Tribolium castaneum: one gene and its partner. The protein of the gene in region 2 interacts with the protein of the main gene of each other region in a biochemical or structural test. Links are inferred from orthologs where the notes say so. Each region holds a gene or a part of one and is shown on either strand. Other genes may lie near its edges.

Region 1 (15,329 bases), on a different chromosome or scaffold from region 2:
ATGTTTCCGCAATGAGGTTCTATACGTTCTAAACTGATGAATTCACAAAATATTTTTTAATAAAAACAGTTTGTGAAGTCAACATATCAATAATAAATAATGGCTACCATACAAGTACATTTTGAACTTTTCTGTGTTATTTACCTGATCAATAATGTAGTTTCTTCGGCGAAGGGCAGCCACTTCCACCAGCTTGTTCAAACATTTTTGAAGCTTCTCCAGCAGCATGTTCCAACTCCCTTTGTATTTATTTTTCAATTCATCGCCGGAAACCTAAACAACACATTTACAAATTTAAAAAATTAAACATTAGGGTCTAGTAACTCATGCGCAGCCAAGAATCTAATCTCTTAAATCCTTATAAAGGTAATTAAAAGTAACAATTATTGGAAGTGAATCGTCGTAGGTCAGTATTAAAAACAGAAATTCACTTTTTGATAGATTCTTTTTTAACTTTGCCTTGATTTATAAAGGAAAAATTATGAAATAACACAGGTCTTGATATAAACAACACTTACAGTCATTTTTTGCAACAGATGTGTATTGCCCAAGACGGTGTATCTCTTCTCCGGATTCTCTTGGACATATTCTTGAACCCAGTGCGTTTTCCCAGCAGCCGGTAACCCACACATCAGAATCACCTAACGCCCCAATTATAAAAATGGTAAAACAACCAACCACAAAATTTACCTCGCAATCGCTTCTATTTTCGGGCCTTGCAGGCCCAGCAACCTTCTCCTCCACATTGGCCAAAAACTCAAAATCTTCAAAACCCTCCGGTTTGCTGAACCACGCCTCTTCTTTATTACCCAGATTCAATTCAAACGCGTAATTGCGGGAAAGGACGTGGGGGAAAAAGACGAAATTTTCCGGGAGGTCGGAACATGGGACGGATATCGCGTCTCCTTGCATCTCACCATTGACGGAGTAAGAAATTTTGATCTCAGCCTCAGTGATTTCCTGTAATACGTTTTCGTTGCTTAAATCGTAAGAAATGATGCGATTTTTGTTACCAAAAAACTAGCAACAACGTCGCCAACGCCGAACTTTTTCCCGTAATCTTCAAACTGCTTATTGAGCGCGAATCTTCCAGATGACTCATAACCGTAAGAAAACTTGTCCTCTCCTAGCTGGAGTCCAGTGTCTAGGAGCGACCACCCGACTCGGAACAAGTGGGTGGGTATGGGTTCAGTTTCTTTGGTTTCCGATTCGTCTTTCTCGTCTGATTTTTCTTTACTTTCCTCAGTTTCCATTGGTTCTTCTTGTGGATTTTCCTCTGGTGGGTTCTCGTCGGCACTCTTTTTATTATCTTCGTTTTCACTGTCGGCAGTTTCCTTCATTTCTGAGTCGTTCTCGACGCTCGTTTCTTTAGTTTCAGAGTCGGGATCAGTGGTTTCCGACTTTTCGCCGTTTTCTTGGCTGCTCTCAGCCTTGTCTTTACTTTGCTCGTCTTTACTTTTCGACTCGTCAGATTTCTTTTTATCGTCATCTTTGTGTCTCGAAGATTTATGTTGTTCTCGACGGTGTTTGTCGTAGTATTTGGAAAAATCCTCCCATTTGAGTTCTTCCGTTACTTTAACTTCGAAACACACCTAGAAATTCGTTTCATTGCTTAATGACTCTAGACTTTGGCTTGTTTGCTTTTTATTGAGCAATCAGTTTAATACCTTTCCAGTATTGACGCCATGGGTCGCTCTGACTCCCGCCCATGCAAAACCGAAAGCACCTTCATGATAGGGTTTTGCTGATAAGAACGATTCTTTATCAACTTGCAGATGAAGGTCAGAGTCATCTGGAATAAAACAAACACTTGGACTATTTCTCAACACACGAAATAATTTCTTATCGCCTGAATTCAGTTATCACACTTTTTAAGCTTGAAATAAAGGAAAAATAAAAAAATACCAATTCGTTTCAGATTTACACTTTATTGACTACACTTTAGGTACAACTGTAGTAACTACGAAACAGATACAAGATTTTGAAGTCAAATAATAAATGAAACCATGCAAGATGTGGCAAAGATGCGGTTCAAGTTTTAATTATTTTATAAATTTATGGGTAGAAATAAAAACGTGTAAGGCAAATACAGAGTGAAATGAAAACAAACTTTCATGCAAACTACACAGAAGAACCCAAATTACATTTCATGTACTACATAATTGTTACTTACACCAGCTAAGCTGAACTTTGTCCTTATCTATAGGAGGCTCGTCTTCTTTAATTGGCGATTTACTTCGTCGGCGTTGAGATCTGTCCGGAGATGGACTACTACGTCTTCGCTTTTCGCCCTTGGCTTCACCGTCTTTATTTTCGCTGACTGGTGCTTCAGTGCTTTCAGCTTGGTTGTTCTCAACCTCCTCCTTTGGCGGAGCTTCAGAACCGTCGGTTTCAGAACCACCCCAGCGTGATTTCCGCGACTTGGGTTCATCCTAACAGTGTAAATAATTTAGTGATGAAAATTGCGATATTCCACAATTACCTGTTCCCCGTTTTCCTTATTCTCTTCTAAATTGGAATTAAGTTCTTTTGGTTCAGACTGTTCAGAAGGTTCGGTTTCTTCTGGTTTAGGTGCTTCAACTTCAGGTGCAGGTTGTTGTACGGGTTCTGCAGGAGGCGCTTCTTGTGTCTAAAACGACAAGCATTGAACGATAATTTTACGAGCGGTGTAAACCACTTACATCCATTTTTTCTTCTGTTGTGGCTTCTGGTTGCTCCACTGGTGGTTGTTCTTTTGGTGGTAGTGGACAGGCTTCGGTTTTTTCAGGTTCCTTATCAGGTACTTTCGATTCTTCGGTAACGGAATCATTTTTAGTTTGCGAAGTATCCAAATCTTCCGTCGACGTATCAGCAATTGAAGTATCTGGTAACTCTGTTGTGAGAAAACACAAGTTAAATTTCCCGCCAAAATCTACTTCATGTCTTATCTGCTTCACAGCAAAGATATTGTTTTGAAACTGTTAAAATCTGGTGATTTTGACTATTTACAATGATTAGTGTTTTAACTATCGCTAACATCTCGTAATATAATAGATAATTAAACTGTACACAAATGTGGCAAGTCTACTACCCATCTTAAAAACATTAAAACAAACAGAGTGATAAACAGTGGTTTTAAACCACTCAGTGAGCGCGTTTACCAGCTGTGGGGCCCTAGTTGTGCGGAACAGCCCCAGAACTAACCTTGTTTGAGTTCTTCCTCCAAGGCTTCTTTCAAGCGCTTGACTAACGCCGGTTTGTTTCCTTTTGAATCCAAACCACGCTTTGAGAGTTCTGCACGTAATTCTACCACTTTTAACTTGGCAGGGTCCAGTGTTGAACTCATTTTTCTACTAGATTTTCAGCAGTTCACAGTAAAAATCTAAACACAAAATATTAACACACACACGCAGAAAGCACGCGCTAGTTTTGCAAATGGCGGACGTGATGCGTTGGTTCGGCAACGCATGCGTACGCTTTCTCCGACTTTCCCGCCATTTACATTTGAATTTAGAAAAAAAGAAAAGAATAAATCAAAATTTTGGTTTCTTATCATAAGTAACTCATTCAGAATTTAACTTGTGGCACCCATGCCCACCTATCTTAACGTGCTTACTTTCACATACATCCTCTTTGAACTACTTTTTGCCAAAAAAGGCCTAAAAGTAATAAAATAAGTTTTATAATAAAACTCCGCGTAAATGCAGTGTGGGTAAAAGTTATCAACAAGTGTGGCAAAATCAATTAACCTACTGAAAGTTTAAACAAAAATTTTTATTAAACGTTGTTGGCAGACAGGAACACTAACTTGTGATATGTTTTATCAATCTATCACATTTCTAATCAATTATCTACAATTTTTATCGAATTAATAATTTTAATTAATAAACTCAACCATGTGTATTGTGTGTTGCATAACAATCATTTTTTATTTATCATTATTTAATCATTTTTTTATTTTTTGATAACACCATATAATCCAACATCCTAGTTGTATTTTTTGTAACCGATTTAAGTGCCGTTACAACCGTTCGCCAGCATTACTCACCACTTTTTGCCGCGCTTCCGGTAGATAAATGTCAAACGTCAGAGTTGTCAAAATATAACCTGCTTTGTGCATTAATTTCGTGTAATATTTTCGTTATAACAGAACATTCTTCCCTTCTCGTTGCATTGATGCGTTATGAACTAAAAACTTTATTGGTAGTGTGTTTTGAACCTCTTCCCCCCATTCTACAAAAGATCAAACTCAGGGTATGTGCACCATATTTAATACTGGGGGCCCCTTAAAACAGGAAATTGTCGCTTCAGAATGTTTTCTAATGGCCTAACTTGCAACCTTCCGTTCAGTTGTATGAGTGTGACTCGAGACTCGGGCTCTGATGAACTTCTTCCCAACAGAATGGCTCGTGAACCTGTCTTGCTGAACGTCTATGATATGTACAAGATCAACGAGTATACTTCTAACATAGGCCTTGGCGTGTTCCACTCTGGTAATTTACCAATAATGTTTTCTCGCTGCTTACAATTATTGTAGGAGTGGAGGTTTACGGGACTGAATATGCGTATGGGGGGCACCAGTACCCCTTCACTGGCATATTTGAAATTAATCCCAGGGATGAGCGGGATTTAGGAGATCAGTTCAGATTTAGGTAATCTTAATTAAACATTGCCAGTGTTGGCATAAAAATATATTGCTGACGTTATCAGTTAATGTAAACGGAGTAATGAACCTTTGAGTGATGGACTGAAAACCTTTTCAGGCAAACCATCCACATTGGCTACACCGATTTCACGGAGGAAGAAGTCAAAAGAATAAAAAACGAACTCGGAAAGGAATTTCGCGGGGATCGCTACCACCTAATGAATAATAACTGTAATCACTTCTCTGGGGCTTTCACCAAGGTTGGAGAACTTTTATCTTTGAAAATATTTATTTGACGTCATTGCATCCCTTGTTTTAGATTCTTTGTGGTCAAGATATACCGCCGTGGGTGAACAGACTAGCATACTTTAGTAGTTGGGTGCCATTTTTGGAGCGCTGTTTACCCAAAGAATGGCTAATGCCAATGGCCTTGCAACATTCGTTAAACCATAGGAAAGACTCAACTTGTTCAGAATCATCAACGTCACCCTATTAACCCTTGCCAAATCTGTAGGGACGTTAAATAATGAAGTGGTAAACATGTATTATAAGAAAATAATTTTATCTGTTTAAAGTAATCATCTGTATTTAACTTTTAACCCGTTTTGCAATTATTTATTGTATTGTTTCGTGGTGGCCGTGGAGATTGCCCTATTCATTGTTTTGCATTTGTCTTTTAACGAAACAAGCCAAAGAAATCGTGAACATTGTAAATAATTTTTAATTTACACCGTGCTTTCAATTTAATTCGTGATTAAAGTGGCCTATGACTTTGAAATTAACTAAATTTCAAATTCACAGTTCACAGAAGTAAATAGGAAATTACTCGTTAAATATTTCGACATTGCTCTTGGAAAAATTTAAACCAATTTTAAGACAAAAGTTGAGAATTGGCCTTGGTTTTGCGTGTTACGAGAACACCACTTTTTCAAGAGAAATGCCGATAATAATTGTGCAGTGACCTGTAATATATTTTTGGTTGATTCCCTAGGTCACTTGTGTAAGATACTTTAGAACTAGTTCTAGGACAGTTGAAAATGATAGACGAAGTACAAATGTGTCGTACATTTTTCAGAGTGACAATTTTTCTTGCAGTTGCGACCGTAAATTTGCGTTGAATCACTTTAAGCGTAAAAATTGTGTTCATAAATTGTAAATAAAAGAGACATGTTGACACAAATTAATTTATTTTGTTCACTGAAGTTGAATAGGGGACCTTCTGTGTTGTCCAAGAATATAAGACTGTGTTTGTCAATGTTTATATTTCTACAACAGTACAAACGATTCATGAAATAGATTTTCGCACCAAAAAAAACAGTAACCTGTGATGCAACGGATTATTTGGCTCAAAAGGTATTAGAAAATCTGCCAAAATAAATGCACTTTGCTTTTGATTTTTCTGTGTAGTTCATAATTGATTTGTGATTAACTATTATTTAATAAAATTTTATTCAAGCAAGTCTTTTTTTATTTGGCGGGAATGAAACAACGGGTTATAAATATACTCCTGACTTATTTTATTTATATAATAGATAAAAATTAAAACAAACTTCTTAAAATTTTGTACAAAAAGCAAGAACGAATAAAATATTAGTAGTATTTATACAAGTGAATTTTATTATTATATAATTTCATTAACTATCGTAACCTACTGTGACACTTACACTATCTCATATTTGTCGGGAAACAAGCTAGTTTCAACAGAATACTTAACAGGAGAATCATCGTCCACCATTAATACATCAAGAATCTGAAACGAGAAAACGTCTTTAAAACCACGACCTATTACTAACGCACTCGCCGTGCTGGTGACGTAAACAGGAAAACTCACCTTAATATTTGCGTAAGCAGATTTCGAACTAAAAGAAACTGTCACCGGGAAAAAGTCGTTAGGAATAGATCGGGGCGCACTAAATTCCAACGATCCAGTTTTATTGCTTGAATCTATAATAGGTAGATTCCATATTAGCTGGTTACGTCTTGACTCATGCGTGTATGAGCCATCACATTCGCCCACAACCGGGTTACAACCCATCCTAAAATAATACATCAATAAAATACTGGGATCACATTTTATGAACGTACGGTAACGGAATCAAAATATTGACATCAGCCAGCTCTAAATTCGGATCGGCAAGTTCGTACTCGATATTGATGTCGCAACTGCCATCGCCCACTTCCGACGGCCAACAGTTGATCAAGAGAGGCACTAAACTCTCATCTGTGCTTTGCAATCGCCATTTCAGGACACCGACGTCTGTGTGCAACGGGAATGGTTTGGATGGTTGTTTGAGCCCAATCTAAATTAACGAAATTAATCAACAATAATTTTTTGGTTTGTTTGTACTTGGGAACGCAGTTTGAAAAGTTCCTTGTCTACATTGGGGTGAGTTTGGAGCTGGATGCCACGCGTGTCTTTATTTTCCAACTGGACACGAATTCGCCCCCACTTTTCGTCCCCAATGTGCAGTGTCACCAACCCCAACAACTCGAATTGTTGCACACCGCCGTCACGGCCCATTCGAACGATTAGTTTTTCCTCCAGTCTCAAGTGAACACTGGAAATAATTCAAGTCACTTTCTACTCTATTCTGTTTATTTTCTTACTCATTAATATCGGACTTGATCGCTGGTGTTTTCATTCCCCCTTGTGAAATACTGTTATTAACTGGTGCAATGACATTTTCGCCTTCGGATTTAAGCTGGTCTACGAAAGACTCAACGTCGTGGCCTTTGCCACCCAGTTTCATTCCTCGAGTCGAAGGTTTCCTATTAAATCAATTTAAAAAAAAATTTTTTGGATGTTTTTAACATACTGAGGAGCGGAGGAATAAGCTGGTGGTTTGATATCGTTTGAAATATTGGCAACATCGCCGACTGAAGGGGCTGGAGTATAACCAGATGAGCTACCAAAGCCTCCACTGCTACCAAATGATGGTTTGACGCCCTTTTTGTTGGCTTCCATTCGCTGGCGTTGCAATTCTTTAGCTTTCTCACGCATTTTGTTTTTAGCTTCGCGTTCTTGTGTCTAAAGAGGAGTCAGTTCGTAAATCAGAAATTACATTGGTTTCGAATCTATACAAACAGCATGCCTTAATTCAATTATAGGAAAGGGCTCTAAAAGAAATATTATGCTTTCTATCAAATGTTAGATGTCTCATGTCTTCTGTTTCTATTTTATTCGCCCTAAGACCTCCGTGAGGAGGTTTAAAAGTGCAGAAATATCGGAAATGGCTTTCTATGCCCAAGCTAAACATTCTGTCTGAATAAGATGTTTTTCCTTTCGTGAAACTTTAAATCTTGAATTTATTGTAAATAAAAGCAATTTAAAAATTTAATAACGCTTGTCTTTAAGTTTTCATAGTTTTTAAACCAGTGGATAAATAAGTGGGTCGTAAAAAATTCAAAAACTACACATACAAAAAAATAAACATTTTCTTTAATCACACTGCTAGTAGTTTTTCCAAAAAGTAAATAGTTTAAGCAAAAAAAAACACGTTAGATTTCATTCTCTTTATTCACCTGGTAGGTATATCAACAAGTTATACAAACAATAGCATAGTCTCTTTATGTTGATGTGAAACGGAATATTATTATGGTATTATAAGAACTCTAGATTTTACAGCAATTCTTTTTATGTTCATTATACCATTATTAATTTTCAACATAAAATCCATCAGGGTAACAAAAAAAAATAGTGAGACAGGTATTAGCGATGAATTCGTTCACTTAAACGTTAGAACAGCTGATCAGTGATCACTTACCAAATTAACTGTTAAATTAACTTTTAACAGCAAATTAATTTTTATTTCACCTTCTACTGGGTCACTATGAAATAATGTGTCGAAAAATTTATTATATCTGATTTTATACCTCAAATAAAAATTTAAAATTGGGAGGAATTTTACTTAACATCTTAAAAAATTTATTGGCAATACTGAGTTATTTGCTTTATTACCAAAATTACTTTAAGAGCTGTGACTAACACAAAATCTTTGAAAACTTGTCATTTTGTTTATTTCTTTCAAACCGCTTTCATTTAAGACAGAATCCAAAATCTTACCGGGAAATATACTGAGTTACATGGTTAAAAATTAAAAGTCAGTATTGCCATCTGAAATTACAACTTCTTGGCTTTAATAATTTTTAACCAAAAAATTCCCTTTTTTTGTCACTGATGACAGAATCCAAAACCTTAACCAGAAATATACTTCAGTTACATTGTTTAAAATTAGAATTCAGTATTGCCAACTGGAATTACGACTTTTTGGCATTACAATTTCTAGAACTGTTGTTAATTTATTTTCTGTGAGGCAATCTAATCATGAAATAGCAAATTTGAAATAATAGCCGTGTCCGTTGTTGTACAAACTTTGATAATAAATGATTTTACCAGTTTAGCAATTTTATTACCTGTCTGACGGCCTGATAGACCCGCTCTTCGTGTGAATCCATCTCGACAAATGTGCGAATTTGGCTCAAATTGACGCTTTCCCTGTACCCAAGAGCAACAATCTCATCAAACGCAAAAATGAGGGAAAATGCGTTTTCCGCAATTTCATTTTCTTCCAATGAGCGGCAATATTCGGGAATCTAAAATAATGACAATGTGAGGATGTTTTTGTGGCTTCCATGGGTCTGGACAGCTTACCACTTTCGCAAACAACCTCAGAGTTTCTAAATCTTCCAAAATGTTGCTAGCTCTTGTGGTAATCAGGAGCATGTAAAGGCGCTCAAGTGGCTGATATACATATCGGACCGAGTCGGTCTCTACAAAGGTGTGTTGTGTTCCTGTTGGGATAAGTTTGGGGAAAGCCGCCAGGAGACCCTCAATGCGGGCTTTGGTCATCTCAACAAACTGCCGAGAGACTATGGCTGGAAAGGCAGAGAAAGGTTGCAACACATGGTTCGGTGGTTTATGTGGGGTACTTACTTTTACCGGCCTTAGTGCAGACCGCCGCTGCTATGAGCACCTGAAATCATATGTTATAACGTGAGAAAATGCGTAAAATGGCAACTTGGAAATTTTAAATTGGAATTGTGAAAGGTTGGATTTGTGTGGTGTGTGAAAGATTATCTCACCATTTTAGAGACTGTGAAAGGTCTGTTGCTGTTATGTTCCTAAAAACTAAAATAATATTTTACAAAACATTACACCCTATTAATTTTTTAAGATGACGTTGACTTGTGCTTGCTGTTGAATGAGAAAAACAGTGACGTGACCGTATTCAGTCAGCCAACCTTACGCCGATTCACTGCACCAGCTCTAGGCGCAAAATTCGAAAATGCTCCAGTTTCTACTCATAAGTTACTTAAAATCAAACTAAATAAGTCAATAACTGCTCTATTTTTATATTTTTTGTTGCTTCAGCTATTTAGTAATTTGTTCCTACTAAAATATAGCAATACAGGAATGTGAAAAAAAGCAAAAAAAAACGTAATTATTTTAGAAATAAACCAGATAATAAATTGTATCTAACTAAAAAAAAATATTTTCGGTTTTTTATTATCCACTATGGCCTAAGAATATTTCAGCAAACTAAATTGTCTTAATAGATTATAGTAAATTATGATATTGTAAAGATATGTATCTGAACAAATTGATTGAATATCAAAAAAAAATTGCGGCCTAGAATTACAAGTTATTTTTATTTCTAAGGTGGGTGGTTTGGGTTATTTGAGTATTAAGTATAGCTAGTGCAATAAAAATGATTAAATAAAATATCGTGATTAAATTGCAAGTATTTTGAAAATTTAAATTTTTTTTAATATCAAACATTCCAAAATTTTTATCTTGGCTACCAGATCACGAAAATATAGGCCAGAGTTATTTTTTATTACATTCTGATTAATAAGTAAAAAATTTTAACCATTCTTTGTCTATCATAAAGTCATAAGATAAGGCTATGAAAAAAACATAGTATTTTCCTGTATGCTACTGCAAATGTTAATTAAAGATAGAAAACAATACAAAAATGCCACAGTAAAGTGTCAAATTTCAAAAATTTAAGATTAGAATAATATTAACGTGTGTTAGTCTGACTTTTGTGCGATATATTATATTATTTTCTCATTTTTTAAAGGTAATCAATGGTAATCAAAAAAATTGTAAATGTGAGAAAAATAAACAACAATAATTTTTTATTAACACAATAATTTGTCGGATATTGTTATTCATTCGTTTACTTAATTTTTTACACTTTAGGTACGAGTATTAGCAAGAAGCTTTTAATTACTTTAAGCTGATATAATCAACAAATATAATCAGCCAGCACGATTAACTGTTATTTATTATCTACCTGTAAACCATTATTAATAGTGCGTTTGGTAAATATCTCAAACTAAATAATTACTTTACTTTATTACTCTTCTTTCGATTGGCTCTTGAATTTTCCTTCAGTTTGCACATCTTGTTGAGCAATTATTTGCTGGCATTTTTCTGACGCAAGTGTGTTTCAGTTCGATATTTTCCAATACCCCGATTAGTTTGAAAATTATCGTTTAGGTGGTTACAGTGTATTCAAAAATTTGTACATAGACTGCACTGAAAACTGTAAATCCATCATAGGAATGTGTTAAAATTGATGATTAGGTACTGAGTTTGAAGCATTTTTTATTTCATGAATAAAACATTGGTGGTAGAGGATTTATAATTTGTTTGTCTCATCAAGAAATCAATATGTTTGTCAATTGACATGAATAATGTGCAGTCACAAGCTCACAAGACTACTGTTACTACACATCAGTTTAGTGAGTGTTTTTTTTTTAATCATACTTTACTTTAATAATCAACAAATGTTCCTTTTTTTGTATAAGTGATTTAAGCAACAGAACAATAGAATAGATAAAAGTGTAAAATAATCAATACAAAAATAAGGGTAGGAGTGAAAGGACTGAAAATGGGTGGTTCTAAATTTTGAAAAATAATCTACCAGCAATATAGAGCGAGTATTGGTGGTCATATAAGCGTGTTCTAAAAGTAGAGTGTGAGGAAATATTCAAAATATTTGATTTTCCTTGAATGGGGTCTTTTGAAATGGAGTAATGGAAGTTTGTTTGAGGTGTGGGCAGCGAGTTTCATTGATCCAATTACTGAATAAAGTTTAATTAACAATAATAATTGGGAGTAAAGAGTGGAGAACAAATAGATGGCGCCTTGATATCAACATTAGTAGTTTACTATATTTATCTGTTATTATGTTCATTTTATGTTCACGTTTCCGTGTGCCTCATCAAGGCCGTACCAAGGCCATAGCAAAAGCTATAGTAGTGTGTTATGTTTAGGTTAATTCTGTTAAAAACATCTCGTCCCATAGTGTCTTTGTGTAACTTTGTAGTAAAGGCTTAAAACAGTTCTATGGCCAAAGAATAATGTGTACCGTTGATTGTGTTCCTCTACCTGAGTGAAAAGGTATGTTTCATTGCATCTTCCTCTCTGACACTTAAGTACTATATGGCTAAGTACTAAGTGCTCTTACTATTGTTTACAAGTTGCCTATATCCTGTATCAAAGCAAATTGCTTTTTCCTGTGGAAGCAATTGACACATTTTAATGTGTTCAAAATTAGATTTGTATGTGCACCCAATCTAAATATAAATTTCTGTTGATAAATTAAAATTACGACGTAATAATTGCAAACCTATGCATGTATTTTTATCGTCATTCCGCAACGTGTGTTTCTTGCATTGTTTTCACTGACTGTTATAGCGATATTTAATTGATTTATGTGATTGTTATGAAATAATTTTGTCCGCAACAATGTTAATAAAATTGTATGTGAATGTAATGTTAATTCTAGTGTTATAACTAATATTTTTTATTGATGTGTGGACTTATAATTAACGTAAGTGAATTAATAATAATAATTACAGTACTTATATTTATTAAAAAAGTAGAAATAATATCCCAGTTGACCGTAAAATCTTAAAAATTATGCGCACCTACGTCGCATGTTCTTTGGCCATTAAAGACAGCTCCTTGTAATTTATCACAATCAATAAATGGTGTAATTCGTACTACTTGTTGCTTGTAAGCAACAAGAATATTTATCAAAATATTCACCTGTTGAGAATGCGATACTAGTGGTTATCACTGCGGGAATTTCCAAAAAGTGTGAGTTCGAATCCCGATCGGCTCAATTTTTTTTTACATATTTGATACAGTATGTTGTCTAGTATTTTAATTTAGGTGTTTTATTAAGATTCACACCCACGTATAATTGGGTAAACTATATTTAAGATCCATATTTGAGTAGTTTGAAGAGTTGTTTTATTCTATCTTTACTACTCGTATAATAAATATTTATAAGCATCATAATAACAAACAATTAGTACAATGAGCTCTAAAAAAAACTACCATAAAAGATAGTAACGGACAATAGAGATGTAACCGTAAAAATCGTATTAAATTAACAGTACTCGTAATTACTATGTACATAGTATTTTCAAATTTGCTTTTTGCAAAAATGTGAGTTAGGTAGGAATTTTACATCCAAGCCTTTTATTAGATCGCATTTCTTTTATCAACAACGATTAACTTCAGTAATAAAGTTGAAGAACATTTACTACATATCTTGCACAATAAAAATTATCTGTAGATTGTTAATCCTTTTTACTTTCGTGTCTGCAACGAAATACTAGAACCAAAGTTGTGTTGGTGGTTTTGGAAGCCCAGTTATTTTGTTTTTTGTCAAATTTTTGCTTTAGCAATAATTAAATGACCTATGGGAAAGACTGTTCTCTCCGTCAGTCTTAAAAGAATTAATAGAAATTTCAATTAGGTGTCATTGATGTGTTAAATCTACCCCGAATATGTTTTCCTAGCACTTCATAATTTATTAATTAATTGCTCAGAACCACGAAGTATTTTTTTTAAAGCAGATTGAGAAATTTAATTTATTCGTTTTTTCGTATAGCAACAATTTCTAAAGTAATATCTTCACGCATTATGATTACTGATTATGCACAAAGAAGTGTTTTTATCTAATCTAATGTTTCTAATTTTATTTTGTTTTTAGGATTATATTAAAATATGTTTAAAGATACATTAATATGAAAATGTTAAGAGATAAGAGACATTATAATATTACATAATAATGCTCTAAAAACATTTGTGTGGCACTACATAGGACATATGCAATAATTAATTGTTACATACAGTACGTTAATTTAAATTTAGTTTAAAAAATCTGCTGTGTTTTTTTGTTCAATCTGCTATGTTCTAAAAGTATAGTTTTTTATTTATTCTGATATGAGCAATAAAAGGAAAAAGCTCATTTCAACCCACAAAGTTTTGTGGTTTGGAAAATTGAATTGTGTTTGCGAAAAATAAAGGAGTGGACTTTATTTTTTAATGTTCAGATGAGCAAGTAACCAGTTGACCTCGGTGACGGCCGTGGAATTTGTCAAATCAAATAATTGGGAGGTATCGCGTAAACAATTATAATAATAATCTTGGATAATCTATAATAATCTTGAAGTTTCAAGTTTCTTTTTTAAGGTAACATCTAAAAATTGTTGTAGATGTGGAAGACACTAAGCATTTTGCTGCTCTGTCTTCTGCTCGAACCCTCATGGAGTCGCTTAGCCGAAGACATCACCTACTCATCCCTGGACAACTGCGTAACCGACCACTGTTTCCATCAACCAGCAGAGGCATGCCCTAGCCCTGACAGCAAGTGCCGTTGTCGCAAACTCCCATACTGCAAAAGTGCGGCCGTTTGCTGCAACGTTAATAAATTCCAACTAACGGAAGGCTTGGCATGCGCAAGTAATTATTTTAATTTATCACTCCTATAAACAATGTTACAAAATTTATTATTAATAAATTATTGTTATTATTAACAATAACAGACATCAGTGGCAACGGTCATGTGGAGTCGCTGCACATACGGAACGCCAGTCTGGACATCCTAAACGTGGAGGACTGGAGGAAACTCAAATATCTGAGATACATGACCATAACAGACGGCCAAATAAACAGCGTAGTCGGGGAATTCGCCAAACACACCATAGTCTCCTGTTTGAATTTATCCTCAAACGGGATCGTCAATTTTGAAAATAGATCTCTGGTCAATTTGTACAATCTGAGCTTCTTGGATCTTTCACACAACAATTTATCGGACGTCCCTCGGTTCAAAAAAGATGGGAATATAACTCTAGACATATCAGGTACTTGGAAACAGAAACGTCATTAAGTTAATCTGCAATTAAGTGCGTGATTAACTGATCACGTGACCAAATTGAGCAAATATGATTGGTCCAATTGCGTTGTTGACTTAACAACGAATTAAATTTTAACAAAGCTTTCTATAAACCGGCCCTTAGAATAGGAAAATAGAACTAGAAATTGCTTAAATTTAATTATAGTTAGTTATAGTGCCTTTCAAATTATTATTCTTTTAAACTATTCATTTGCAGCTAATCAGCACATGTTATGCTCAAACCTATTCGACGCTTTAAAGCGCACCGAACTCCACTTCAGCAACATAAACAATTCCTTTTGTCTATTTGCCCGAACCTTTCACTGGTTCAATACGACTGAAACTGTCCCTCTTACACAAGTGATTGGAACACATAAGGTAGTACAATCAGCAGGATTTCGAGCTGAATTGTAATTTCTTCTTTTAGTTGCGTAAAGATTGCCGCAAAAATTGCACTTGTGAGCCCTCAAGACTGGACCTAGTGTCAGGAAAACAAGCAACGA
Region 2 (15,455 bases):
TTAGAAACAATTATAATATTTCCTATGTAATTTTGGAGTAGATAGCTAGTATCTGTCAATGAAGCGGATATTAATGCTATTGAAACCATGACTGTGTCATTTTTTTGAAAATATTTATTTTTGTATAATAAAAGTTAATAGAAATTTGGTTGTTACAAGCGTGTTTTATTTAAAAACCTCCTTGTCCTGTCCACAGTGGCGTATTTAGGGCCACTACCGCCCCGGGCTACTTAATTTTGCCCCCCCCCCCCCTCTCCCTAAGCCTTTGACATTAAAAAAGCATATATTGGTTATCACCCCTTTTGTGATACCAAATGAACTGCTATAAGCTTCATAAAGTTAAAGAAATATAATTGGTCTAACACTAAACAAATTCTATCAATTTTCGAATATTGTAATCTGATAAAAACAAATTAGTAGATACGTATCTGCTTTTAACTTATTCGTTCTCTTTAACAGTTAATTTTCTCAAAAATTCAGTGATTTACAAAACTTTTTAATCAGTCCATTTAAATTAAATAGCGAACTCAGTTCTGGCACCAGTTCTCTAAAAATCCAAGAAAATAAAATTAAAAAAACTTCAAACAGTTATTTGTAATGTCACGAAACTCTAGATTTTTAAATGTCTCTTTAATTTTTTAAGATATCTATCACAAAATTATTCTGTGTTTAAGAAGTTTTTGTTTGTAAATAAAACTGCCATTTTTACACGTTTCTCTATATTACGTTGTCTCTGACTTTTTTCAAAGACATTAGTCTGAATTTTCTTTAATATGAATTGAAACTGCTAAAAACTTATTAATCTCTTTCAAAATTATGGAAAAGCCCACGGTGTTACATTTTCCCGAAGTATTTTTTTAAAGTCATTGGCATAACTTATTTGCCAGTTCTATGTTTTAACGGAAATTCAAAATACTAGTAAGTTTTTTCAAAATTTTCTGCGCGAAGAAATAAGTGAAATAATAGCTTCGAAAGAAAGAAATCGTGACGTCAGAACCGCCTTTCATCATAGAATCCTCTTATCACTGAATCTTTTCAATCGCCAAAAACCTGACAGATATTTGAACATTTTTCACACATCTTCTATAAAATAAAAAATTAAGAACTGTTTTTGACTAATTTCTGTTCTAATTTTTGCTAAACTTTATCAGTCAGAAATTTTTGCCGCCCTGGGCTATAGCCCATTTAGCCCATATGTAAATATGCCAGTGTCTGTGCAAAGTCGTGAAAAACTGAAAATAAGGATATTCTAATTTGTGTCGGAAAAGTGGGGAGGAACAAGAATAGACTGCGCGCTGCCCTACTCGCTATATCGTGGCTAAGCCCGGTCCTTATAAGGGGAGAGTAAAAGGAGGATGAACCCAAACAAAATTTCCTTTCCTGTATTCCCAAATAAATATCAAAAAAATGAAAATTCTTGGCAACACAAACGCTCGTCTGCCCAATTAGCTTAACACTGATAAATGGACACATAATCTGGCAGCCAATTTCGAGATGAAGATTTGGTAAATTGCAATCAGAATTGCGATTTGCAATTAACACATTTCATGTGTACGACTTAATCCTCCCATCTCTACTTAGAAACGAAATAGATATCAATTTCACAAAAGTGTCATGTTTTTCGTCTATATTTCTGTTTCTAAATAAAAATGCAACTTAAGTGTGGGTGTTCTGCGCGCGCAAAGAGGGACTCTTCTCCGAGGAGCTGACCTGGGGATAAGACAGTCACTGCGGGCTCCCTGAGTTGTGTGGTGCTCCTGGACCGCTTTTTGTCATCCACTTGTTGTAAGTGACTTTTTACACAACCCCTTCATGGCCTAAAAAACCCAGCCTTTTTTTTTCGAAAAAAAAACCGAAAAATTTTATTGACAATTCTCACCCGAGTTAGAATCAAAGATCGACAATTTTCCACTTTTGCGCTAATTACTAGAGCCATGAAGTGGTTCATTTGAAAAAATATTGTCCGTAAAATTGTTACTGTAAAAATCTGGATTTATGTTAGATTTATTTTGGGAGCTGTAAGCGCAGACGTCCGCGCCAAGAATAACTCGTCCAAGTAGCGCTGCCAAATACAGCCACGCTAGCCCTGGTGTAATTTACATTACATCCGAGGAGTTAGACTTTCACACAAAAGTCCCATTGTAATTAAAACACTGTTTAATTAATCGCACTCGAAGAAAATTTGACTCAAATTCAATTACGGGTCTAAAATTAGAAAATTCTTGGATCGGGACAATACCTAAATATAGCCAATTGTTTGTTAGTGTCCAAGATTCGAGAACACTGGCAATACTTAATATATTTACCGGTGTCTAAGACACCATTTGAGCCCCGGGTTTTGACGGTGTTTGTTTTTCCAGAGTTTTTTCCTAAACGCCTTTAACCATGTCTGACGAGGAAGAAGTCTACTCGTGAGTATTTTTACTCCTAGCGGTGCTAATTAGGTGCTTTTGCGGTATTTTTATTTTTGTCGGTTTATTTATTTCGGGCTTCCTTGGCTATTAGAGGCGTAAAAACGGTCATTTTTTAACTGTTTGATTATTTTAGCGAAGAGGAGGAGGAAGAGGAAGTTGTAGAAACGTAAGTGTCCTAATTGCCTCAAAAACGCACTTGAAACCGTGCGTTGATTTTTCTAATGTCCTATTGTACACATGTCCATCTAATACAAACCTTTTCTCTTTTACAGAAAGTAAGTAAACCCTTCTTGCTAGAAGTCACTGTTTGGTAGAGTAAAACCTGACTGTAGTTAGAGTTTTTTCCAAAAATTGTTCCATCAGTTTTGAGATATTTTTTTATTTTGTAATTTTTCTTTTCCTTTCACCTCGCCCCTGCCCTTTGTGATGTGTACCCCACAGGACTACAACAACAACAACCACCAAAGTCGAGTAAGTCCAAAACCGCTTAAAACTTTACTTATTTAAACTAAAGTGTTTAAGTACGTAAAGTAACCCGTTTTAAGCTTGGATTGGCTTCGTCAAACTCCGCACTGTGTTCGTTTTCTGCAATAATACCACTAGAAGAAGATATTTCCAGCGACTCTTCCAGCTTCTCGTGCGCTCTCTTATTAATTTTTGTCCGCTCACAATAGAAGCGCATAACAGCTTGAATTGGCCTCTAAATTCACTCATTTCTAGTTCGAAACCAAAATTAAACGGGCAGGAATTTTGCGCTACTTATGCGACCGCCTCTCCCGAGAGTCCTTGCTAATTTCTCACACAAAACAGGGAAGGAGCTGGCGATCCAGAATTCATCAAACGTCAAGATCAGAAGCGATCCGACCTAGATGAACAACTTCGCGAGTACATCACCGAATGGCGCAAACAGCGCGCCAAGGAGGAAGATGAGCTCAAAAAGTTGAAGGAGAAACAAGCCAAGCGCAAGATCAGCCGCGCCGAAGAAGAGAGGAAAATGGCCGAGAGGAAGAAGCAGGAAGAAGAACGCCGCATCCGCGAGATTGAAGAGAAGAAACAGCGTGATATTGAAGAGAAGAGGCAGCGGCTGGAAGAAGCCGAGAAGAAGCGCCAAGCCATGATGCAAGCCCTGAAAGATCAGAACAAGAACAAAGGACCCAACTTCACCATCACCAAACGTGATGCTTCCGTAAGTTGTGCGAATTGTGCGTAAGAACGATTCTATGACAAGGTTCTAGTCCAACTTGAGCGCGGCGCAGCTTGAGAGAAACAAGACCAAGGAGCAGCTGGAAGAAGAGAAGAAAATTTCCTTATCCATTCGCATCAAGCCCTTGGTGCTTGACAACCTCAGCGTGGACAAGCTCCGGGAAAAGGCCCAGGAGTTGTGGGACTGCATCGTTAAGCTCGAAACTGAGAAATATGACTTGGAAGAAAGGCAGAAACGCCAGGATTACGATGTAAGCCCGCAAACATAATATTGGCACAGTGGGATAACGTAATTTTACAGCTTAAAGAATTGAAAGAGAGACAAAAGCAGCAACTCAGGCACAAGGCCTTGAAGAAGGGCTTGGACCCCGAGGCTCTCACCGGCAAATACCCCGTACGTGTTATTAATTCTTGTGTTAAGTGTTTGTAATTTTGTGTTTTGTAGCCTAAGATCCAAGTAGCGTCCAAATATGAGCGTCGTGTCGACACCAGATCGTACGACGACAAGAAGAAACTGTTTGAGGGTGTAAGTATTACAAAAGTCAAAAAAAGGACCGATGATTGCGTTGTGACCGTTTCTGTTAGGGCTTTGACCACCTAAACATGGAACTTTTGGAAAAAGTTTGGAAAGAGAAAGTGGGCGAGTTCGAAAGTCGGTCGAGAAGTAAGTGGGCATATCCGTTGTGTTGTGCCCATTTTGCTATTAATCACTTGTCTCGTGTCCTTTTTCTAATCACAAAACTGTACTGTGCCATGTCTGAGTGTGCGTTTTACGTTTTAACAGGGTTACGAAGAAATTACCAAGGAAACCAATGAAAAACTCTGGAAAGACAAAATTGGGCAATTCGATTCGAGGCAAAAATGTAAGAGTTGCTGCTGGTTGCTTATTTGTGCCAATGTGGGCAAGGGCGGGTTCTGAAACGTTGTATTTTAGCCAAACTTCCCAAATGGTTCGGTGAAAGGCCCGGCAAGAAGAAGGGCGATCCTGAGACCCCTGAGGGCGAAGAAGAGGGCAAACACGCCGCCGATGATGATGAAGACATCAAGGAGCCGGTGTTCGAGCCCGAGCCAGAAGAGGAGGAAGAGGAAGAGGAGGTTGAGGTAGAAGAAGAGGAAGAGGACGACGAGGAGGAAGAAGAAGAATAAGCAAGCGAGAACATCGTTTTGTCCCGACGTCCATGATGTACTTTTTATCTTATTTTATTTTCGTTTCCAATAATAAACTGTATTTATAATCAAATAAATATCGTTACATCAAAACTACGGAGGTCTAAAGGTTAGGATACGAAACCACGTTCAAATAAAACGGTCCCGTCCTTGATAGTTTCCTTAGTGCCGCCAGAGAGCGCAGTCGTTCATTATCGTCTGTTTTCTGAGCAATGAATTTTATAAATGATAAAGCATTAAACATAACGCAAAATTTATCGTTATTTATATTTAAAAAAAAAAACTTCTACCAATTTGCACTTTGCCAATATTTTGTAGCGTTTTGAAAAATACGGCACGAAGCGAAAATGTTCTTTTTTTTCTCACGTTTCTTATGAAAATTTCAGTCATTAGTTTTTCTCACAGTGACTTTATTTTAGAATAATACAGTTTTTCTCAGAATTGGTTGAATTTAAATTAATTTAAAGAGTTGGCGCTGAGACGGTATAAGTACTCTATTTTTTGGATTCAGAAAAAGCGAGTTTTCCGTAATCAAAGCCATTTTTTCAAATAAACTTTATTAATATTAATACGACCATAAAATACAAATTATGCAGCGATAACTTTACTCTGTTGCCCCTTCTGTGTCATATTGATCTTGTCACCCAAACTCAGAGCCATCCCCTGCAACAACAAACTCAGCTGTGATTCACACTCAGTGCTACCAACCTGACTCTTGGCCCTGATCCTGATATGTCCAGTAACGGGTGCATCAGGTTTGTTGAACGGTTTTTCAATACTCAAATTAGCGAGAGCGTCCTCTCCAAAGATTGATTTTGCGTACATATTGGCGGCCATGAAACCGCACTGCCCTGACAGGGCCTTCTCCGGAGTCAAACACTTCATGTTGGTGCTTTTGATCAAGTGCTTCAAATATTCCGCAAGGTCGGTTAAGGTCGTATTAACCGAAACCTTATTCTCCCACTCGAACTCGGCCCACATTTGCCTGAACTCCGAGTCGCTACAAGTGGCCGGGACTATGTAATCCATAATATCAATATGGATGTCGTCCAGGACCACCACGTTTCGGTCGGACGCTGCTCCCGTGACGTCATAAACTATGTTCCCGAAAATAATCCCGTTTTCGGTCGAGGCCACTTTCACGTTGGCCTTAATGTTGCAGAAGTCTTTGGGCGCCAGAACCACCGGCTGCGGTTTTTCCACGAGTTTCAAATCGCCGAGAGTTGCCAACTCAAGGGTGCAGTTTTGTAACGTATCGTTGGTCTGGTTGACTATCAAAACGTCCAAAACAATATCATACTGGTTGACATGGACGTAGGCTTCGGCATACACCGGGTCTGAAAAGCCGGTCAATTGAGTCACTTTGTTCAGCTTGTTAACCCCAGTGCTTGTGTCACTGCCGCCGACTCGGCCCCCAACCAAGGCTTGTGACAAGGACGTTTCGAAGACGTTTTCACCCAATTCGCCCGACTTGTCGGCTTGTAATTGCATAAAATTGATCGGATCGTCGGCTTGTATGACATTACCAGCCTTTTCTTTCGCTTTCTGATTGAGTGCTTCTTCAATTTCTTTGGCGACTAACATGTCGTTAAGTGCCTGTCGGCACAAGTCGGTAAAAACCTTGATAATGCTCGGCTGCCGGTCCGAAAGCACCCGCAAGCAGAATAAAACGTGGTCCTTATCATCATTGGTCATGGCCTTAGTTGGCAAACCCGACTTCCCCAAGTGAATAATCCCGGCCATGATCATCATAACTTCGGCATCAAACCGATTCCTTTCAACCGCATTTTTAACCGAACTGCCGTACCTTAGAGCCAGTTTGGTCAAAGTTGAGGCGATCGCAGCCCCGATAAAGAAATCGCCGTCGATTAGATACTGGCGAAGTGGGGGCCGCTTCTCTTTTGTGCTTTTCCTAAAGCTTGATTTACAAACCGGGCTTTTCTCTCGACAAATGACTACTTACTGAACCGTGTTGAAGGCTGATTGGGTGGCGTAAGTTCCGTCAGAAGTGACGAGGGTGCTGGAAGCTTGTGTTGGGTTCGGTTGGGTGACTTCTTCCGAATCTCCGGCCACTAGACGTTGCTCCGCTTCCAGAAGGGGGCCCTCGCCTAGGGTTTGGTTGATGGCTTTAAGTACGGACTGGATGTCGGCCACAGTTGTTGCGTATTCGCCTAAAATCCAAAGGGCGGCTCGGTGGATTTTCACCGATTTTATGTTGGGGAAAGCTTCGAGGAGTTTCTGGAAAATATTTTTTTAAGACAAACACTCGGGCATCATTGAATCTTTTTTTCACATATATAAATTTTTGTAATAATGTTAATAAATGATTAAAATTTAAAATTATTGGTTTCTTATTACGTGATTGTGGATTGTTTTACCAATAGTTTTTGCTCCCATAAACCAAGAAACGCAAAATAGTTCAATTTTAAAGAGACGTTGCGTTAACATTCTAAGGGCAACGAAACTAAAATCTTTCTTCATTAAATAATTAAATTTATTAAAATTAATTTAATTAATTATATCTTGGCCCCAAACTGTCGCTGGGATAATTTTCACCATATCACAAAATTTTGGTCTCACAATTAAAATTTAAAAGTAAACCGTCAAAGATAAAAATATGGAAAAAGGTATAAGGAAGCAAAGTTTTCTCATTTTTTCGGCGTTTTTCACAAGAATATGAGCGTAAGGTGAAGTAAATAATACCGATTGTTTGCTGTCATTTTGTGTCGCAGTGGCCATAATTTTTATTAACAATGTTTTTCGGCATAGCAATGCTTTTTTGATTTAACCAGCTTCTTATACATGTTTGAATATGTCATATAATATGACTTTTCTTTTTTACTCGTAGTAATAAAACGCTCAGATACAGTGAAATTTAATAAAGCTTTATAACAATATTTAATAATTTTTTCAGAAACCTAACGTGATGAAGTACATAAGAGACACGTATTAAATATCAGAAAAAAATCATGTTTATTATAATAAGTAAATCAACCAAGTCGAAGTTCACCAATTGCTCTAAATTGGAATGAGTCCAAAAATCCAAAGTGGTTGTTTTCTCAAACAGGCCAATCACAATGCGTATTAATACTTACGTTAATTAATAATTTTTTTGCTTCTACTCATCGCATTGGAAATGACGTAAGACGAAAGCATCATCTTTCATAAAAAAAATCGACCGAAATGTGACCCAGATATTTTAATTAGATGACCTTTTCATGATTTTCATTCATAAAATATGGACGCACTAGTAATATTGTTCGTATTTTTTCTTTTTTAAAAAATTGTGACTTGATTTATGTCACGACAGAACTCAAATCAATGATTATACGGAAAAGAAAAATTTAAATTCGATTATTTCTTGCAGTTTATATAGAAATAAATGCGTAATCATTAATCAAGTGTGCGTCATTTTCGATATTTGACGCTCCAATGATTAAACACATTCAGATAATAATAAAACAAAATTAATAATCAAACGAAATGCATAGCAAAACGTTTGATTACCGACAATTGAGATCTTACAAATAATCTAATCAAATAACCATGAAATAACCCAAACAACCGTTCTTAATCGAGAGTTGACTTACGTCAAACGTCCAATTTTTCAAATTTTCAAAGAATTTTCTTACCTCAATGATGAGCGGCTGCAAATTATCGAATTTCTGAATCGCCTCTCTGACGAAGATCAGAACATCAACGGCTGCAAGCTCATTTGTATCAGATAAGAATTCGACCAAAACTGGAATAACAGTTGCTGCAACATCCGGAAATCGAATACAACAAGAATGCAAAGTCCGGACTAGCAACTGTCTATATTTTCCGGTATCTTCATGCTCAACATCGTGCGTTTTCGCAACTTCTTTCTTCAAAACCAAGACCATTTCTTCGATATTTCGCGACGAAACCAAATCCATCGCCAGATTAAGAGTCTTTTTGCGCACCTCCAAATCAGGACTCGACAAAACCCTCAAAATATCCATAACCAAGTCTTGAAGAACCCTTTCGTGAGTTGGGTGGTCTTTGAGAGCGATCAGACGGTCCAAAACAATGAGCTTGACATTGTTGTCGCTTTCCTTGATTATGAGCTCAATGTAGCAACTGGCGGCCGCTTTAATCGCCGTGGGGGCTGTGGAGAGCGTGACCAAAGTCCCCGCAGCCTCATACCGCACAGCGGGGCTGCTCGAATTGAGCAAATTGTAAATACAGCGGATGAACCTGGACCGTTCAGACGGATTGCTGTGGCAAACTTTGTAAATCAATTCGACAATAACCAACTGGAGGATGTCCCCGAAGGAGGTCACTTGGTCCAAGCACGAGGCCAAATAGCTCAAGGCGCGCTCCTGATCTGCGTGGAGCAGCATGAGGAAAGCGTTCCGCTTACACGACATGTCTTGCTCCCCGTCCAAGTAATTCGAAATCAACTCTGGAGCGTCCGGGATCAAAAATTCGAAATTTCGGTAAATTGTGAAAATCGCAAGGACGGCATTGCGCCGCACGTAGGAGTGTCTGTGCTCCAGACAGGCCCGGATCGAGGGCATCAGGGGCTCCAAAAGCTCGGGCTCTTTCAATTTGCACAAGAAGCGCAAAGTTGAGCCCCTGAGAAATTCGTTCGGGTGTTGCAAATCCTTGCGGTAGGCGTCGCAGACGAGGATCATTTCCTGGAGGAGTTTGCCGTCGGGGGAGGTCTTAGGGACGATCTCCCAGAAGATGAGGAGTAGTTTTTTGGCGGTGTGGTCTTGCAAAGGGAGGACGTAGCGGATTATGGTCATGAGGAGGCCCGGGGGCAGGCGCTCGCCGGCCAGGATCATGTGAATGGTCTTTTTCAAAGCTTCGACTTTTTGTTTGACGTCGCCCTTTTCTAGAAACGGGCGATAAGAGAGGATAGCGCTTGGGGGTTACCTACCTAGGTCTATCTTAAGTTGCATCTCATTGTAGGGTTCTGTGTCGGTGGGGACGTTTATGAGGGTGTAACAGGGCTGTTCGACTGCAGTCATTGTGGAGATTTACCTGGAAGTGGGAAGGGACACGAGTTAGGGTTAGGGCGTAGAAAGATACCAACAAAAGTGTTAACGTGAAAAGAAATGCGAAACTGTATTATCGTGTGAGAACAGGTTTTTCATACCACTTTAACTGAGAAAAAACACTTATTTAACACAAAACACGTAATGTTAATATTTTGGAATTAAATGTCAACGACGTGTCAACCTATTTTGACACTTGACAGAACCGGTAAGCAACCTATTGTACGCGCGTGTTATGTAACCAGTAATACAAATTCTTTATGGAGTTGTTGTTGTAAAACAATTTTACTTATCTTGATTTTGCATGCATTTTATTAATAGCGATTTTGGAGGATTATAACTTTGGATATATTAACGACAATATTTCTAACTATTATCGTCAATATTATTTAAAATAATAAATAATTAACCCGGCGCATCCACCATTTTACATTTAGTATTACCTATTATAATTAATTTATCGGTAAAAGTCACAAAACTGACCATTTTTGTGGCTATACAGGATGGTCCGCGAGTAATAAGGAGTTAAAAAAAACAGAAAAAATGTTTGAATTTTTTTATTATTACGTTTACAATTTGGCGCCTTTACGTACTTTTAGCTTTTGCCGCATTATTTTTTTATTTCTGTCAGTTTTATGCTCCGCTTTATGTTTATACGTCTATGTGTTTTTTTATTCTCTTATTTTTGTTTACGTGTTGTTTCACTTGCCTTTTGTACAATTTTTTCAATGAAACAAGTCACATCTGATCCGGGTTATAAATAGGTATAGGGATGTTATTCGAAGTGTGAGTGTGAGATTTTATGACTTTTACTCCTAACAACGTAATATACTATTGATTTATTTTAATCAGAAACACATAAATAAAGAATTTTGAGATTAAAATGGGTAATAAAAAACTTGAGAATAAAATAAAACACAATTTATTTTTGTATTTTTATTATAACACCTTAAACATCACAATGGAATGAATACTGGATAAAAATCCATAAAACATTAATACAGAATAAATACATATTTAAATATACATCTTTTGATTATGTTACGACGAAACATGAAATCACAGCAAATGTGGTCATTGGTTAATTGATAAAGCCGTACAACTTCGTCCCAAACTCGTGTTTTATTGTCTCCGTTTGCAAAACGAGCGTGTTTCCTCTAAGACTCTCATCTCAGTCTTAGTCAAATTATCCAAAACTGAATCATTTCAATAACTGGCATTATTCCCTCTCATCGAAATACTCATCCTCCTCTCAGCCCTGACACTCAGATCCTGCGACCCTCCCGTCCCAATGGGCGGATACCTCCACCTCCAGGGCCTCTGCTGCAGGTGCCCATCCGTGGAGGCCCTCTCCCTAAAGGGAACACTCTCTCCCGGACTGCTCGCACTGCTCTCCTTGCTCTCCTCCTCATCCTCCTCCTCCAACTCCACTTCGGTCCACCGCCGACTGAACATCCCCATCCTACAGCTGGGGATAAGTCCGCTGGGAGACCCCGCCGACGAACAAAGCAACTTAACGCTGTCAGGACTCATCGGTTCCTTCTCACTTCCACTTCTCCGCATCTTGGGATTTTTATTTTGAACGCGCCAAAAGCGGCAAACGTCCCGAAAGACCGACCACACTTGGTCGATGCTTTCGCGGACTGAAATCTCGTGGAAGCAGACACAGCCGATTTCTTTGCTACGGCGTTGCCCTTCTTCGAGAGTCACCATTCTGTCCTCCATCTGGTCGATTTTGTTGCCCACGAGGACCACGGGGACGTCGAGGACGGGGTCCTTGGACGTGCCCCCCAGGCGACGGCGGCGCTTGTTGTAGTTGATCAAAAATTTAAGGCGGTAGCACTCGTCAAAAGAGCATTTGTCCGTCACTGAATACATGAGGATGAAGGCTTCAGCCCAGCGGATGTTCGCCTCCAGAGCCAAACATTCGCTCTCCTGCAAACATTTACATAATTAAATTCTAGGTGGTATTAATAAAAATAAGCATAAATAGGTCGTTTATTGATAAAACCCGAATAATTAACAACATTAAGAAAAAATAATTTGAACAGATTCTGATAAGTTAAACTAAAAAAAAACAAACAACAAAAATAGGAAGTAGAAAAAAATTGTATATTACACTTATGATTAATAAAGGCAAGCCTACAAAACTAAGCAAATGCTTCTAAAAATGTAAGTCTGCTAAATGCTTGACTCATAAAATTTTAGAGACGACTGGCAGGCGAAAATAAAAGACGTTGTTTAATTGCAGCTTAATATGTATTTCTTATACAATTTGTAATAAGATTTCCTTTAAGATAAACAATTAACATTGTTTTTACTCTTTTTTTTGCAGCCTAAGAATTTTTAAATTCTCCAATAAAACGCTGTAGTTAAACATTTGAAAGATTTTTCGTTTCTTCAATTTCTGATGTAAATGCGTTATAAGTGAAGATCTTACAAGTTTCTTATTGTCTTCGTTCTATTGAATTAGAAACTGCTCTAGTCTTTATTTTATTAGGAATTTTTGATAATCTAGGATTATTTTCTTGTCCACTTTTAATAATATTCAAAAGTATTTGGAAAGTATTTCGGAAGCGCTAAGCTTTATTTTTTATTGCTAGTTACATTTTTATCAGTTTTCTCTTTAATAGAATAATTTTAATATTGTAATTGCTTTCTCTTTTTTAATTTAATGGTTGCTAGTGGAGGACCCTCGAGTTTTATTTACAGTAATAGGATTATTAATTTTACGGTAACTGTTAACTGTTCGGATTCTTTTTTCTCAGGCAACAATTCTTCAGATAAAAAATCGTCAGCCATTCTACAACAGCATAATTATAATTAACTGCAGAATATTTTAATATATATATATATACAGGATATCACAACGATTCAAAAAAGCTCCATAACTTGTTCATTATTTTTTTTTATTATAGCTGCGTTACTGCTTCAGACTGCGGTGTGTATTCAGACTGTTCCAAAACTAAAGAGACGCTGAAGTAATTTTTTTTAATAGAGCACTCTAAATTTTATTGCATTTTTGGACGCAGCTTTTAATTCTGATAATTTTGATTTATACTTATATTAGTCGATTCTGTTTAGTTTTTGAAATAATTTGTTTTTTTTTGACGATAACGCATTTTATTTAAAAAATTATTACACAAAAACAAAAAATCTAAGCAATGTAGGACGTTCACTATTTTAAAGGAAAAAGTTCAAACTTAAATCAGTATCAGTTGTTGAGCGTATGTCATTAGGATCGCAGACAAATTATAAATAAATATAATAAAATAAATAAATAAGTAAAACATGAAAAATATATTCAGCAGGACACTTTTCTAAGATTTTTAGTTTTTATGTAATATTTAAAAAAAAATTTTTTTTGTTAAAAAATCAAATTATTTCAAAAACAAACATTAATTTAAAAACCAATAACAATTTCTCTTAAAAACAGCAGTGTCGAAAGCTATATTCAAAAATCGCAAAAAAATATAGAATGTTTCTTTAAAAAATTGGATAGGTTTGTATTGTAGCTCATTTCGGAAACATTCTGTATTCTTGAAAATAATTTTATGTAAATCAGAGGATTAGTTTATACAGTTTTCGTAAAAAAAGATTAATTTTCTAACTATTTAAAGTCAACAATGGACTTTTTCATATTGCTGGAACCTCACTCCTCTTATGAAAGGCTTTAAATCAGAAATTAATTCAGTTTACTTGGAAAGAGTGATATTTCAAGTTTTTTAAGTGACACACAACTGACGGCAGCTGTTTACTTTTCAATAAAAGCTTATTTTACTAAGGAAATGCTTTATACCATCCAGTGAGGCTATTAATACAAATAATTTGAAATAATAATTTTTAATTGAATTTAATAAGGTTACAAAAATTTCCTCTCAAAATGTGTAAGCTTATTATAAGAAAGGTTTGCTTTCTAACGGCCCATTTTGTCTTTTTTCTCAGGCTAGGTGTGTTTGCCGTTCGGATATAATTGCTTTTGTTCGTTGAGTGAGTTGAAATTCAATAATTCCTTTTAGTACACTCATAAATCTTCGTTACTTCGTCTTCTTATCCCTTGATACTTAATCTATAACGGTTGTTTATCTCTAATATCAGGTTCGGACATCTTGATATATTGCCCAAATAGCAATTTTATTTTTTATTGTAACAATTATCGTCAAGTTGATTTTTTCAAACACTCAGAGACACATTTAATAAAACAATTACGTGATCACGAAACCACACGTCTATTGTTTAAAAAATAAAACTATACTGATAAAATTCGAATTAATTAAATTCTTGTTATTTACACGGAGTAAAATAATGACGAAATTTTTATCGTGAAACAGCGTTGTTGGCAACAAGATGCCACTAAATGATTACTTGATAAATGCAAAAATTATTTTTGCATAAGTGGTGTTTGATCAAAAAATCGATTCATTTTCACATAAATCGGCTACAACGTCCGAAATATTTATAAACAGTTAATAAAATGCTTTAATGATGTAACACCTGCTAATTCCTCGCCATTGTAAACATTCTAATTTTAATAAAGTCGCTTGCAACCACTTCCAGGCGATAACAAATACGCGGACTTTTATTATGACAAACTAGGCGTAATTAACTTTAATTCGAAACTTAATTAACAAATTGCACTGCCATTTGCACAGCGGACATGCAAACAGGGCGAAAGCTTACGTGCGGTTGTCCTGCCGTATCAAGGATATCAAAATAAACCATCTCGTTGTCAATCACTGTGTGGAAAGCGTAAACTTTTTCCAAAGTCGGGTCGTACTCGCCTATGTATCTTTTGGTAATAAATCGCACAACCATCGCTAGAACGGAAGCCTGGTAAACAAACCCAGAAATAGCCGCTCTGGCAATTACCTGATTTTCCGACACCGCTTTGCCCCAAAACCATGACCTTCAAAGTTTTCGGTCGGGGGTAGAGGCCGAGCTTGGCCAGTGAGGACTTCGGAGATGTTGCGTTCATTTTTCGCTCACATCTGAAACGATAAAGTTTTCCTCATCAACGCCAGAAAGAAAAACCGGAAATTTTAATCAAACTTTCGGACAAGTTTGCCGAGAAATGTGACGGATCAATATTGTAAAAAAAATAATTGAGACGGGAGCCGAGTGCGAATTTACGAGTTCAAGGAATGAATAATGCAGCGGGTATTTATCTACAAAGTTAGTTTTAAATGCACTTGAACTCTTGAAAAGTCGCTGTTTTGTTTTATTTGTTGTCCTTACTCGCTCCAAGGTGGGCCGCTTTAACAGCCTTCAATCCAAAACAATTCCGAGCATAAAAGTGCGAAAAGCTTACTCAAAATTTTATGCACTTGCATCAAAAATAGATTTCGGAGTATAAATGGAGACGAAACTTTAGACGACTCATCACAAAGTTGCGCCTGGATGTGACAGCTTTTGGCGGAAAGCTCGTCACGTAAGACAAAATTTTAATTAATTATTATCGAACTAAAAAGCTCTTCGGGGCCCAAAATTTATGGCGTAGTTTCATTACATGGCGAGTTATTGTTTGGAGTTCAAAGGACATGCAAAACTGGTTAAACCTTGATTAAAACGTAAGCTTTAATATCAATTAAAATGAGTCTCGTGTCGCAATCCTGGCATTGTTTTGCTCCGCTTGCACCAATAAAATAAA

What was found.
Region 1: the proteins of betaCOP (region 2) and deltaCOP form a complex in vitro, tested with the Homo sapiens proteins (2 studies listed by BioGRID). The link is inferred for Tribolium castaneum from reciprocal best matches to the Homo sapiens genes COPB1 and ARCN1.

The regions. Positions count from the first base shown.
Region 1 is NC_087394.1:32,198,920-32,214,248, reverse strand, and holds deltaCOP (coatomer subunit delta), read right to left. Parts: upstream 9,863-15,329; 5' UTR 9,710-9,862; coding exon 9,707-9,709; intron 9,598-9,706; coding exon 9,558-9,597; intron 9,500-9,557; coding exon 9,276-9,499; intron 9,218-9,275; coding exon 9,038-9,217; intron 7,653-9,037; coding exon 7,441-7,652; intron 7,394-7,440; coding exon 7,232-7,393; intron 7,183-7,231; coding exon 6,972-7,182; intron 6,925-6,971; coding exon 6,710-6,924; intron 6,661-6,709; coding exon 6,456-6,660; intron 6,375-6,455; coding exon 6,285-6,374; 3' UTR 6,118-6,284; downstream 1-6,117. Other genes in the region: heterogeneous nuclear ribonucleoprotein U-like protein 2, read right to left, coding at 145-273, 519-641, 691-960, 1,014-1,592, 1,668-1,792, 2,174-2,432, 2,483-2,629, 2,682-2,872 and 1 more; deubiquitinase DESI2, read left to right, coding at 4,292-4,472, 4,517-4,631, 4,743-4,884, 4,944-5,120; hfw (protein halfway), read left to right, coding at 11,327-11,374, 14,147-14,393, 14,477-14,794, 15,044-15,204, 15,254-15,329. UniProt on the Homo sapiens protein: Component of the coatomer, a cytosolic protein complex that binds to dilysine motifs and reversibly associates with Golgi non-clathrin-coated vesicles, which further mediate biosynthetic protein transport from the ER, via the Golgi up to the trans Golgi network.
Region 2 is NC_087397.1:6,595,115-6,610,569, reverse strand, and holds betaCOP (coatomer subunit beta), read right to left. Parts: upstream 10,047-15,455; 5' UTR 9,910-10,046; intron 9,795-9,909; 5' UTR 9,782-9,794; coding exon 9,691-9,781; intron 9,646-9,690; coding exon 8,417-9,645; intron 7,023-8,416; coding exon 6,748-7,022; intron 6,697-6,747; coding exon 5,493-6,696; intron 5,448-5,492; coding exon 5,373-5,447; 3' UTR 5,291-5,372; downstream 1-5,290. Other genes in the region: up (troponin T), read left to right, coding at 2,386-2,411, 2,548-2,580, 2,856-2,885, 3,225-3,600, 3,650-3,868, 3,919-4,011, 4,063-4,143, 4,402-4,480 and 1 more; uncharacterized protein LOC664374, read right to left, coding at 11,015-11,743, 14,489-14,625, 14,678-14,783. UniProt on the Homo sapiens protein: The coatomer is a cytosolic protein complex that binds to dilysine motifs and reversibly associates with Golgi non-clathrin-coated vesicles, which further mediate biosynthetic protein transport from the ER, via the Golgi up to the trans Golgi network.